Linked DNA regions of Drosophila melanogaster. The protein of the gene in region 2 purifies or fractionates together with the protein of the main gene of each other region. This does not show direct contact. Each region holds a gene or a part of one and is shown on either strand. Other genes may lie near its edges.

Region 1 (3,752 bases), on a different chromosome or scaffold from region 2:
CGCTGCTGCTGCTCCAGCAGTTCCTGCTGCTGCTGCTGCTGCTGTTGTTGTTGTTGGTGCTGTTGCTGATGGTGGTGCTCCGCCTGCAGTTGCTGCTGATGGTGCTGCTCCTCGGGCGTCAGTCTCATATCACGGGGCGCCATTGCCGGCAGCTGATCGTCGGGCGTCACCGCCGCCTCCTGCTGTTCCATAAAGCCCTGCTGTCCGGCAGCCAGCATGGCGGTGGTGCAAATGGAGCCGCACTGCGTGCATTTGTACTCGTTGGGCTGCTGGGTGGCCGAGTGGATGCCATAGATGCTGCACATAAGGCAGCGGGACAGGAAGGCGGGCGTCTGATGGGCCAGCCGATGGTGTTCGTCTAAATCGACGGCGTTGCCAAACTTTTCATCACAATTGAAGCAGGGGTGGCTGAGCTTGGGGTGCTGCTGTGCCTGCGGATGACCGCCGTCCAGCGTGGCAATGGCTCCCTGGGCGTTCAGCGTGATCCCGTGGCACAGCTGCATGTGATCCGCGACGTGCTGCGGTCGCTCAAACTGCTGGTGACACATGGGACAATAGTGCGGCGACACGTGCACATTGGGGTCCATGCTGAGATTGGGCAGAAAGGCTGTCTTCAGGGTGTCCATGTTGGCTATCACGGTGGCCACTTGGTGCGTGGGCGTGGCTGGGGCGGCGGTGGAGGTGGTGGCTGAGGAGGGGGGCGGCGGCGGCGGCGCTGGCGACTGATCCTCGGGGCGTGGCAGACGCTGTTCCTGTGGATTCGTGGTGGACTTTATCATTTCACTTCCGCTGGCGCTTGGAGAGTAATCGCTTCTTTTGGTTTGACTTGGTTAGTGGGCAGGAGCAGGAGCAATTGGCGGTTAAAGAAGGCGATATGCGCTGCAGGAGTAATAAAAATCATAATTACAGGCGGCCACAAGCGAATGTATGTGCAAGCGTGTGGGTGTGTGCTGGTGTGTATGTGTGTGTGTGTTCTTTGAGTCTGGCAGTCGCAAATTAGCAGGAACGAATTCGGAAATCACAAATTCACGAAATCTTCAGTCCCGATCTTCTGCATTTGACCCCCAATGTCCCCCCACAGCGGCTGGCGAAGAAGAGGAAGAAGGAGGAGGAGATGAAGAAGAAGAGGAGCGGGCAGCAGCAGCGGCAATGCGTTCGAATTGAAAATTTTTTTCAGTCTGTCATATTCTAAATTCGGAATTCTATTTTGATTGCTTTTTCGGTCTCTCGTTTTGTTTCCATCTTTCTTACCAGCGCACTGAATATTTACTGCACCTTGTTGTTGCTGGCGGCCGTTCGATTTTGTTGTATTTGGAGCGGGGGTCACGAAAATGCTGGGGCGGCCAATCAGTTTAATAACATTTTCTCCTTTGTACAACAAATAAACGTATATTAACAAAAAAAATTTTTCACTTTTATTATTATTTTTGGCGAAAAATGTACAACTACAACAAAAAGTATCGATTACTGGCATCGAAACTACGATGGCAACGTCGCTCTAGAACTGACGATGTGGCAACGCCCTTGCTAACGATATATTTTTCTGCCTTTTCCTAAAATATGACAAATAAAACGTTTTCTAAGTATGCAAATTAAAGTATAATATAACTTTAACTTAACGTTATAAAAATTGTAAGCAAAGCTTTCGATATTAGGAGTTCTTCTATTTCCAAATTTATCGGGTCTATCGTTCTGCGATAGCTCGATACTTTCATAAGCTGATAATTTCACAACAATTGGAAAAAGGATTGTTTGGAGAAATACAATAGAAATATTATTGCAACAAGGGTTGCAATTGGCTTCCCCTTATATTGGTCATCTATAGTGCCAAAACTGTCACTTGTCCTCCACCGCGGACATATCAGAGTCCACCTGCAACCCGCCGTTGGTCAGGATTTGGACAGAGGCTTGTTTGTAAACTGCCACAATTACCACCGATATAGAACTCGATCTTCTCAAGCCAAGTTCCAATAGGTTTGTGGAATCACAGCACCAAATTGTGATCTATATTGACTCTCTTTCGATTGTGCAGAATGTCGTCGCCATGGGTTAAGACCAGCGAGCCTGTGCAGCAGGTGAATCTGGCGGATATAATGTCGGAGCAATATGCCCACAAGTTGCACGACAAGGAGCTGCAGCGCCACACGGAGAAGCTGAAAAGACCGGACGAACAGATAGCACCCGTTTGGGGGTCGCAAGCCTCATCCCCGCCAGCGCCCAATGCGCAGAGTATCCAAAGTGATGCGGAGGATTGGGAGGATTACTCTGCGCTCCTCAATGACGAAGGAAACGTAGCGGAGGACATTCAGCTGCCGGAAGACAGCGATGCAGTTATTGCCCAGCTGTTGCAGTCCCAGTTCGATCACGAGTACAATGAGGAATTGCGTCGTATCGAGCGGCAGCAAAACAAGCAATCCAAGGTCACTGTTACCCTCAATAAGTTCCTACGTGATGGCGATGCAGAGTTCTTGCACGACACCGCGGAAGATGACTACGAAGAGGATGAATTGGAGCAACAGAAGCACGACTGGGATCGGTTCGAGGACAATGAACGGCAGCTTGACTCCATACCTCGCTGCGGCTTTAAAGTTAACAAGGAGGGCGAGATGATAACAAAGCACGATCCGCAGCTGTGCGCCGTGCGTAATGCCCAGCGCGTGATGTCCTTTCCGCCGGAGTTTCCCACCGGTGATGCTGCCGGTTTCGACATGAAGCTCTCCAATAAGGTTAGAAGCGGTCAGTTTTAAGCGATAATAAGACTTAAACGTACCTTTCAGGTGTTTAACCAACTACGAGCCCATTCTCGACGAGGCCGCTCCGACAAGCACGAGAAAGTGGCCACCGCGGAGATGGGATTGGATGCGGGTACACGTTTGCTGCTGTACAAGCTGATCAATAACCAAATACTGGAGCAGATCAACGGCATTATATCCACGGGCAAGGAGGCGGTCATCTTGCACGCCAATTCCGATGCGAACTATACGGGCAGCAACGAGCATGGTCACCAGAGTGGTGTGCTCGTTCCACCGCAGCTTTTGCCCCGGGAGTGTGCCATTAAAATCTTTAAAACCACGCTCAACGAGTTCAAGCAGCGCGATAGATACATCAAGGATGACTATCGGTTCAAGGATCGCTTTAGCAAACAAAACCACCGAGTGATTATCAATATGTGGGCCGAGAAGGAGATGCATAATCTGATGAGGATGCAAGCCATTGGCCTAAACGTTCCAGACGTTGTTGTGCTGAAGAAGCACGTGCTGGTAATGCGGTTCATCGGTGACAATCATAACGCTGCGCCCAAGTTAAAGGATGCCCGTCTGAGCGACGCGGAGCTGAGTTGCGCCTACGAAGAGATTGTGGCCGCGATGCACAAGTTGTACAATGAGGCGAAGCTGGTGCACGCCGATATGAGCGAATATAACATACTCTGGTTCGAGGGCAAGTGCTGGTTTATTGACGTGGCCCAGAGTGTCGAACCGAAGCATCCCAGTGCCCTGGAGTTCCTGATGAGGGATTGCGGCAACATTGTTAACTTCTTTGAACGACGCGGCCTGCCCAACATTTACACCAAGGAGCAGTTGTTCGAGTTTATTACGGGTCTCAATTCAGAGGTCCACACCGCCGCTCAGCTGGAGCAGATCCACACGCGTGGCGCTTCCATTAGCCAAGCCACTGCTCCGAATCAGGAGGAGTGCCCCGACGAACTGAAACCCTTGGAGTATCCCTTTGAGCTGGCCTGGGAAAAATCACAA
Region 2 (3,752 bases):
GCTCGATGCCGGAGTACTCGCCCTCGGTGTTCTCACGGATGGTGACCACGTCCACATCGTCGTACAGCGTCTTGTAGCCCTCGAGACTGCGGCAGGGACGCACGTTGGCGTACAGATTGAACTCCTTGCGCAGGGCCAGATTCAGAGACCGATGGCCCTTGCCGACGGGCGTCATCAGAGGACCCTTCAGGCCGATCTTGTTCGTGTTCACCGAGTCAATGGCGGCCTGTGGGATGCCGAACTTTCCGTCGGGTCCCTGTTAACATGTCACGCACAAATGAAATAAGAAGTAAATAAATAAAGCTAGCTCGCAAATTGTTTTATATATGTGTCGTCTTCTCCGACATATGTATGCATTTTTTTTTTGGCTTTTAACAGAGCAAATTAATATTTGGCGAAAATATTGCATGGATTCGTATCCATTGATTTGGCATTTATATCGAATATATGGCAATGGAATGTTAACTAGAGCCTGGTTGTATTTCAAATTTACCGCCCAGACGACCGTAGTTGCCACCTGTTGTCAAACGGCCACGCGCTTCGAAGGCGATGGCGCTCAACTTGGATTTGAAATGTCAAGTTGAACCACTAACTCTGGCTGGGATTACGACACTTACCCGGACGGGGGTCACGTCCACGGCCTCCCACTCGATGGGGACATTGGCGGCGGTGAAGATTTTCTGCACGGCCGCAGAGATCTCAGGTCCGATGCCATCGCCAGGGATGAGGGTGACTTTCTTGGTGCCGGAGGAGTAGGACCGGCTGGCGGCGGGAGTCGCGTTGACCTGGAAAATAGCAAGACCATAGGCGGGTTACAGAGTGATCTACAGAAATGGTGGCGAGAAAACGCATAGATGGGCAGCAGCAACAGCAGCAGCATCTAGCGGGATTACATAAGTGCCCATGCCAAACAAAAATCCCGTCCGCCCTACCCCCCGTGCCAAACAGTTCGTCGCGTTGAGGTTAGAGTGCACAAATGATTCCCACGGCGCTGATAAGGCCGCAAATCAGGGCCCAATCTCGGTAACTGATTTTTTCCCGCCTCTCGAGTAGGGGGTGGGATTTTCGAGGGTCCGAACCACCCGCCCTGCCCGCCGTTATCGATATCTCGGCCACGCAACGAGGGAGCGAGAGAGAGAGTGTTATGTAAAGTGAATGCGAATTCTAATGCTGTGCTCTTTTCGTTTTCGCCGGACGGACAGCTGATGTCCTGGCGAAGGAGGTGGTGGCCCCCACTGCGGATCCCGGATGGTTCCGTCGCTGCCGCCGCTGTTATGGAACCAACCTGGCTCACTGCTGGCGTCGCAGTCACCGCCGGAGCATCACGCGCTGCAATCAAACCCAGTTGATTGAGCTGCAAGTGTTTTGCGTAATGTGTTGTTGTCGTTGGGAATCGCGGAATCGCAGATCATTGCATCGGTGGTTTGCAGGGTTGGTTAGCGGGCGTGGAGTTGGAGGGCAGGAGCGTCGGACGAGAAACAAAATCGCAATGTTAGTGGTAGTTGGCCAGTACTTTTTGGCCAGCACGTAATCAACTGCTGTCCTGCAGAATTGGTTTGGTCGCTGTATGGTGGGGTTAAGAGGCGCGACGCGGGGCGGGTCAAGTCGCTTAAGCCTAAACGGGTCTTACAATTTTCTGTATGAATCTAGCAGCCATTGCGTTGGATCGGTTTTTGCACTGATTCCTGCCGTATATTATATAGAAAAAAGTCTGTCTTTTTAGTCTGCGCCCGCCGTAGTCGCCACCTTGCGGAAAACTGGCGAATCTGCGGTATATCGGTCGATAGGCATGCGGGGGCAGCGTCGTTGCCACCTGGACTGCGCTCAGATGGGGGTGGAATTACAAATCACCCATATCCCCGTATTTGTATGCTCTCGCTTGCATCAGTCACATAATTGCTGTACGAGCATCATATGTATGGCGTAAAACCACATTAAAGTTGGCTGTGAATAAACAGATGTCGAATATCGATGTCGTCTGCCCGAAATTCAGTACAGCCTGCCGTGTGGCATCCCTGTACAGGGCAAAAGCGAAATATCGGAGCGGCCTAATCGATAGTTTGTGTATCCCTTGCAACCGTGGCTGCTACAGCCACAGTTTAAATTAATTTGAGCATTCGCTCAGTTTTCTGACGTATATTCTAGAAAAAGTGCTGAGAGTGTCCATCAAAAAGGGGCAAGCGAAGCCGTTTCTCGATCTCCAACGAAAACGGGGATAGGATAATCCAAGGGGCCGCCTGTCGAGAAGCCAGGCGAGGGCAAAAAATCGGATCAACCGACAGACAAAGCTGAACTGCGGTCGTCGGCGACAAAGTGCGCTGTGCCCACGGACGACCAGAGAGAATCGGTACGCGAGTGAGTTTTTTTTTCCGCGTTTCAGTTTGGATTTCAGTTACCTGCGCGCAACAACTCCACTGACCAGCCGTTCGCAGCGTTCCGTATCTGGAGTTTCTGGCCAAGAGTACTCCTTTCCAAGTAGCCCCAGCTCCGCGTCCGGCAGGCCGTACTGCGTAAGCGGGCGAAAACGGTACGTGCAGTGAGATCCGTGTGGCAGCGTCTTCGGTTGTGTGCTTGTGGGGCACCAGAGTACCAGGTAGGCGTCCTCCGAGTCCCTCCGTGTCCCTCCGTCCAGCCAGATTCGGATTCCTGCATTCAAATCCAAATGCATTGCCGTTTCCAAACTCAGCTGGCTTGGCCCTCACCCATACACCTATACACGCGTCGCTAGCACACGCAATACACGCGCATACGCTCACACGGACGCACGCACACTTATGAATGTATCTGTTTGACAGCGCACTTCTGCGCTCGTTGCGGGAAAAGTGCCTCTTGCCAAGCGCACACTCTCGCCAAACGCGGTGCAGAGTTTCTATTTGCTGGATTTTTCAGCCGGAGAGCAGAGTACGGCTGTCATCCGTGTCCGAATCAGTCGTTAACACATGTCCCCACTGTTCTTGCAGCTCCGCAGTGCTCGTGTTCGCTAGTGCTCGTGTTTAGCCAAAACTAGCACCCTGGAGAAGCATAACAAGCGCGCCCAGCTCATCCGGGACAAGATGGTGTTGGCGGAGCGCAACACCACGGATGTGGTGCGCAACGGGCGCCGTTCGCGCGGCCCCAGTCCCAATACGCACACCACGGGCGGCGTCACCAACAGCGCCAGCCTCGTGGGCAGCGGCAACAACAGCGGCCACTCCGGGAACGCCAATGCGAACGAGAAGACCACCACAGCTGTGCCAGGTGCAGGCACGCCGGAGAGCTCCGACGACGACAACTGTAAGTGAAACGCCCCGGAATTACCTTCCTGCCACTTCAGCCCACTTATCTGTACCGTCTCCCTTTTCCAGCCACCAAACGGAACGGCAAGAGCAAGGCCAAGCAGTCTGAGTACGAAGGTGAGTACCTGTAGTCTTTTTCCGCACGATGTGGTCTTTAAACAAATTTTCATTTCATAGAGAAAATCCGCGTTGGACGCGACTACCAGGCGGTTTGTCCGCCGCTCGTTCCGGAAGCGGAGCGCCGCCCGGAACAAATGAACGAACGCGCCCTCCTCGTATGGTCGCCCACCAAGGAGATTCCTGATCTGAAATGTACGTATTAGTGGCTTACTTGCCCATTTGATCTCTGGGTTGTGCCAGCGAATAGAATACTAAGACACGTATTGTAACCTTGCAGTGGAGGAGTACATTTCGGTGGCCAAGGAAAAGTACGGCTACAACGGCGAACAGGCATTGGGCATGCTGTTCTGGCACAAA
Region 3 (3,752 bases), on a different chromosome or scaffold from region 2:
ATCAGCTGTATTCGAAAAGGAAGTGTTATTAGTGAGCGAACAACGAATGGAAATTCCAATAAAATGCACTCACCGCCGGCACCTCGTCATTGTCCGACTGCCGCTCCTGGACCTGCGAGTTGTGTCGCTTGTCAAACTCCAAACTGGCTGCCAGAACCATAAGTGCCCGCTTGAGCAGCATGTGCGGTGTCTTGTGGATGAAGTAAAAGTACATCTGAGTGGTATCGAGCAGCACTTTGTCGCCACTGAAGCGGATGGAGCGGTACCACCAAACACCCACTGCCGAGGGCATGGCCACCATGAAGACCAGGCCGTACAGACCCAAAACCCAAACGCTATTCTCCTTCTCCACAATCCACGAGGGCAGGGCGATGCCAAAGGACATGGCACCCGGTCCATCCGGATTACCATACTTCTCGTAGTTCTCCTTTGCCACATCGTCGGTCAGCGCCTGGTACGCTTTGCTCAGCATCATGAAGGACTTCTCGTCACCCGTCTCCTTGTCGGGATGGAGCACCTTGGACAGCCGGTAGTAGGCCTTCTTGATCTCGGCCTGCGACGACGTCGGCGGCACATTCAGGATCTCGAAGGGATCGAAGCTGGCCATCTCGTAGTCGAACTGCGAGACGCGGTACGTGAGGAAGAGCAGTAGGGCCCACCCCAGCACTATGGTCAGCTTGATGGTCCATGACGTGAGAGCTCTGTACGGCTCGGCATTGGCCAAGATGGTCTTCTTTTTCTGGCAGTCGGCGCACTGACATTCCTCTTTAAGTTTGCTGTTATCTGCAAGTATGTGTACGAAAATTGGGTCAGTACGGGGATTATATAGGCTATTTTAAAATATTTGAAATTTATCATTTTCACTTAAGATGGCTAATAAAATGATTTAAAAAAAAAACGATCTTTACAGGTACCTGCTAACCTGATTACGATTAAAATTAGTTGAGGTCTGTCTACGCATATTGCATTTTTTTTTTTACCGGGAATGCCAGCGCTACAGAAATGAAAATCTCGCGAGAGGAAAATCGTGAGAGAGCAGCCGATTGGTCAGTGAGCGTGTGTGCAAAGTGCACAAGCACAGCATGATCGCGATAAGTCAAAGGTAACTTGCTCATAATCACTCCTCCTCCACCGATCACGATGATAGGTAAGTTATCACGATATTAGCGACGCATGGACGCTTGTGGAGCGTTGAGTGCGCTGTCCCAATTGGAAAACGAAGAGAGCTCGACTTGCGGTAATCGCAGCGCAGCTTTCACCCATACGAAGACGATGAGCTGACGTTGTTAGAATAACTTATTGGAACGTGTCCATTTAGTTTGTTGGTGGCGGCGGGAGGGTTAGAGCAGGAGAGCGTGGTAATCACATGTATGTCTATGCCTTCGCCTTACTGGCACTCACTTACACACATACACACGCGCACAGCTGCAGGTGGAAAATTAAAAAACAAGAGCGGAGAGAGTGCGATTTAAATCGGCTGGCAAGCGGCACTTACCTTGTTTCTTTTTACGTGGCCAATAGTAAATGGTGGTCGGTATCAATATTAGCGCCAAGAACGATAACACAAAGTAGTAGAACGTTCCGCCGCTCTCATCATACTGAAACTTTTGACCCGCCATCTCCGACAGCGACTATATGTATTTTGTATTTTGTCTGGCACTGCCTTTTGGCTCCGTTCCGTTCCGTTCCTTTCTCTGCCGCCGCTTTCCCCTGCACTTTTCCTCCGGCAGATCCAGCTGATGTTGCTGTCGCGTTGGAGTTATCGCTACAATCGCTGCGCCCCGTGGATTCTCGATCGACACGCGGCGATCTGCGAGATTCGAATGGGGCAGGAGCTGGTGTTGTTGCTGCTGCTGCTGCAAGATATCGCGAGATTGGCACGCCGCGAACTTAAAAAACTCTGTATTTACACCGACGCATGAGACTGACACGTAGGGTTGTTTGGCTCGTGCTGGAACCGATAGGCGTAGCTGGAGCGGAGCCGGTTCGATTGCACGGCTATCGATAGGCGGGAGGCAGCATTCATAGTTTAGGGTTGCCAAAGCTGGCAGTACTAAGTTTAGAATCTGATTTTTTAGGTCACCAAGTACTAAAAATGTTTGCAAGCAAAACTTTTGTCAGCAAGTTTTCAATGTAAATGTATATTTTTAAATGGATTTGCCTATATATATATATATATATATTTTTTTTTTTTATAATATAATATGTGCTCGCTAGAAATACAAAGCAAATATCTGATTAGCATGAGCTCATCGTCTCGTTACATTTTGGGTTTAGCACGCTAGCAGCTTTTTAAATTTTGCTCACCAAAGAAGGTGACGGTGGAATACGGGGTATTCATATAAAGGTATGATCCCTAGAGAGCTTTTCTGCCGTCTTGCCTTTTCGGTATTTCGAGTACGATCGTTCAATTAGTGTGCGCCTTAACTTAAAAGCTGGTGATTCCGTGGCACAACTCCATTAGCAGCACAACTGTGGCAACGGAAAGGTGACAACTTAGGGATGGCGAATAGATTAGGAAACCATGAAGTTACCCGCACCGCACGTGAAGTGCAGCAAAACTTTGCCGAGTCGCTCGGCTACGCGGAAGAGATAATCTGGGATCTGTAAGTACTGCTACTGCGCATTAGAATTTTGAATTCAAAGTATTTGGGGTAATGACGTAACCCCTTACAGGTTGTCCCATGAACAACATGACGTGCTAAGGGGCAAACTCTGTCAATTGATTCGTGATTCTCCGGAACCGAAAACTGCAACGGAAACTGAAAAAGACAGAAAAATCCGGCTGAAGGTCAACGCAGATAATGAGCGCGCCCGTCAGATCATTTTCGATTCCGTTTGGCAGCAACGTGAGTTGGACTTACAGATTGTATATAGTATAGTACATTTTTTCGCTGCCTTAACTGCGTACAATTGTTTTCCAGGAAAGTATACCAACCGTCAATCGCTGACGGCGATCATTTACGTAATGGTGGTAACTGACGAAACGGACGTCAATCGCGCCGAGGACGCCAGAGTCTTCAGCGTGCACCCAGTCTTTCGGGCCCGTCGATGCGTCGGTGAGTCATCCTTTGCATACGTATGCAATTTACAATATATTTCCTATCTATCTATCAATGGATCCATTTAATACTCAGTTGGCAGTAGTGGCACCAGCAGCGTCAGCTCGAATTGCTGCAATCTGTTTATCGACGAGCTTGGTCGGGTCTACCAAAACTGGGAGATGTATGTGACCACCAACGAGTTGCCTGCCGGAGTGATGGTGGCCCCAGAGAAGGGTATTTACCGCTTGGTCAGGGATCAAGTACGTCTGGATAAGTACACAACGCCGGCGGGCACGACCAACAGGAAGGTGCTGGGCTACCTGGATACTGGGTCGGCAGTCGGAGGATTTTTTGCTGCCTGTGTGCCCATTGCTGCCCTGCTAACGCTGCCCGTATCCGCTCCGCTGATGGGCGCAGCGGGAGTAGTAGGTTTGGCCAGTGCTGGATACGCCGCATCGCGGTCTGGCAGCAAGCTATTCGATCGCAGCCAACATGAGCAGTCTATCAATGTGACGGACCGCGAAGCGCGTGGTCACTGGTTGGGCGTGGCTGGTGGCACTGTGGGATTGGCAGCGGCTGGGGCCACCACAGTCTTGACAACGGCCACAAATGCTGGACGCGAGGTGGGAGCGGTGAGTCCTTAAACCCCCCCCCCCACGCAATCAACAATGGAATAAAAATGTTAAATATGTACTCACATAGATCACC

The links.
Region 1: the proteins of Idh3a (region 2) and CG3008 purify together in Drosophila melanogaster (affinity purification with mass spectrometry, with the first as the bait; one large-scale study listed by BioGRID). This does not show direct contact.
Region 3: the proteins of Idh3a (region 2) and Sec63 purify together in Drosophila melanogaster (affinity purification with mass spectrometry, with the first as the bait; one large-scale study listed by BioGRID). This does not show direct contact.

Annotation. Positions count from the first base shown.
Region 1 is NT_033779.5:4,881,614-4,885,365, forward strand, and holds the start of CG3008 (uncharacterized protein), read left to right. Parts: upstream 1-1,684; 5' UTR 1,685-1,974; intron 1,975-2,032; 5' UTR 2,033-2,033; coding exon 2,034-2,726; intron 2,727-2,777; coding exon 2,778-3,752. Other genes in the region: Cf2 (chorion factor 2), read right to left, coding at 1-779.
Region 2 is NC_004354.4:19,520,043-19,523,794, forward strand, and holds the start of Idh3a (isocitrate dehydrogenase 3a), read right to left. Parts: upstream 1,763-3,752; 5' UTR 1,658-1,762; coding exon 1,631-1,657; intron 1,355-1,630; coding exon 1,286-1,354; intron 786-1,285; coding exon 618-785; intron 257-617; coding exon 1-256. Other genes in the region: CoRest, read left to right, coding at 3,054-3,273, 3,345-3,392, 3,453-3,587, 3,673-3,752. UniProt on the Drosophila melanogaster protein: Probable catalytic subunit of the enzyme which catalyzes the decarboxylation of isocitrate (ICT) into alpha-ketoglutarate.
Region 3 is NT_037436.4:7,358,775-7,362,526, reverse strand, and holds the start of Sec63 (secretory 63), read right to left. Parts: upstream 1,967-3,752; 5' UTR 1,620-1,966; coding exon 1,496-1,619; intron 889-1,495; exon of another isoform or gene 784-888; coding exon 74-783; exon of another isoform or gene 6-73; coding exon 1-5. Other genes in the region: pst (pastrel), read left to right, coding at 2,503-2,606, 2,677-3,059, 3,138-3,676, 3,747-3,752.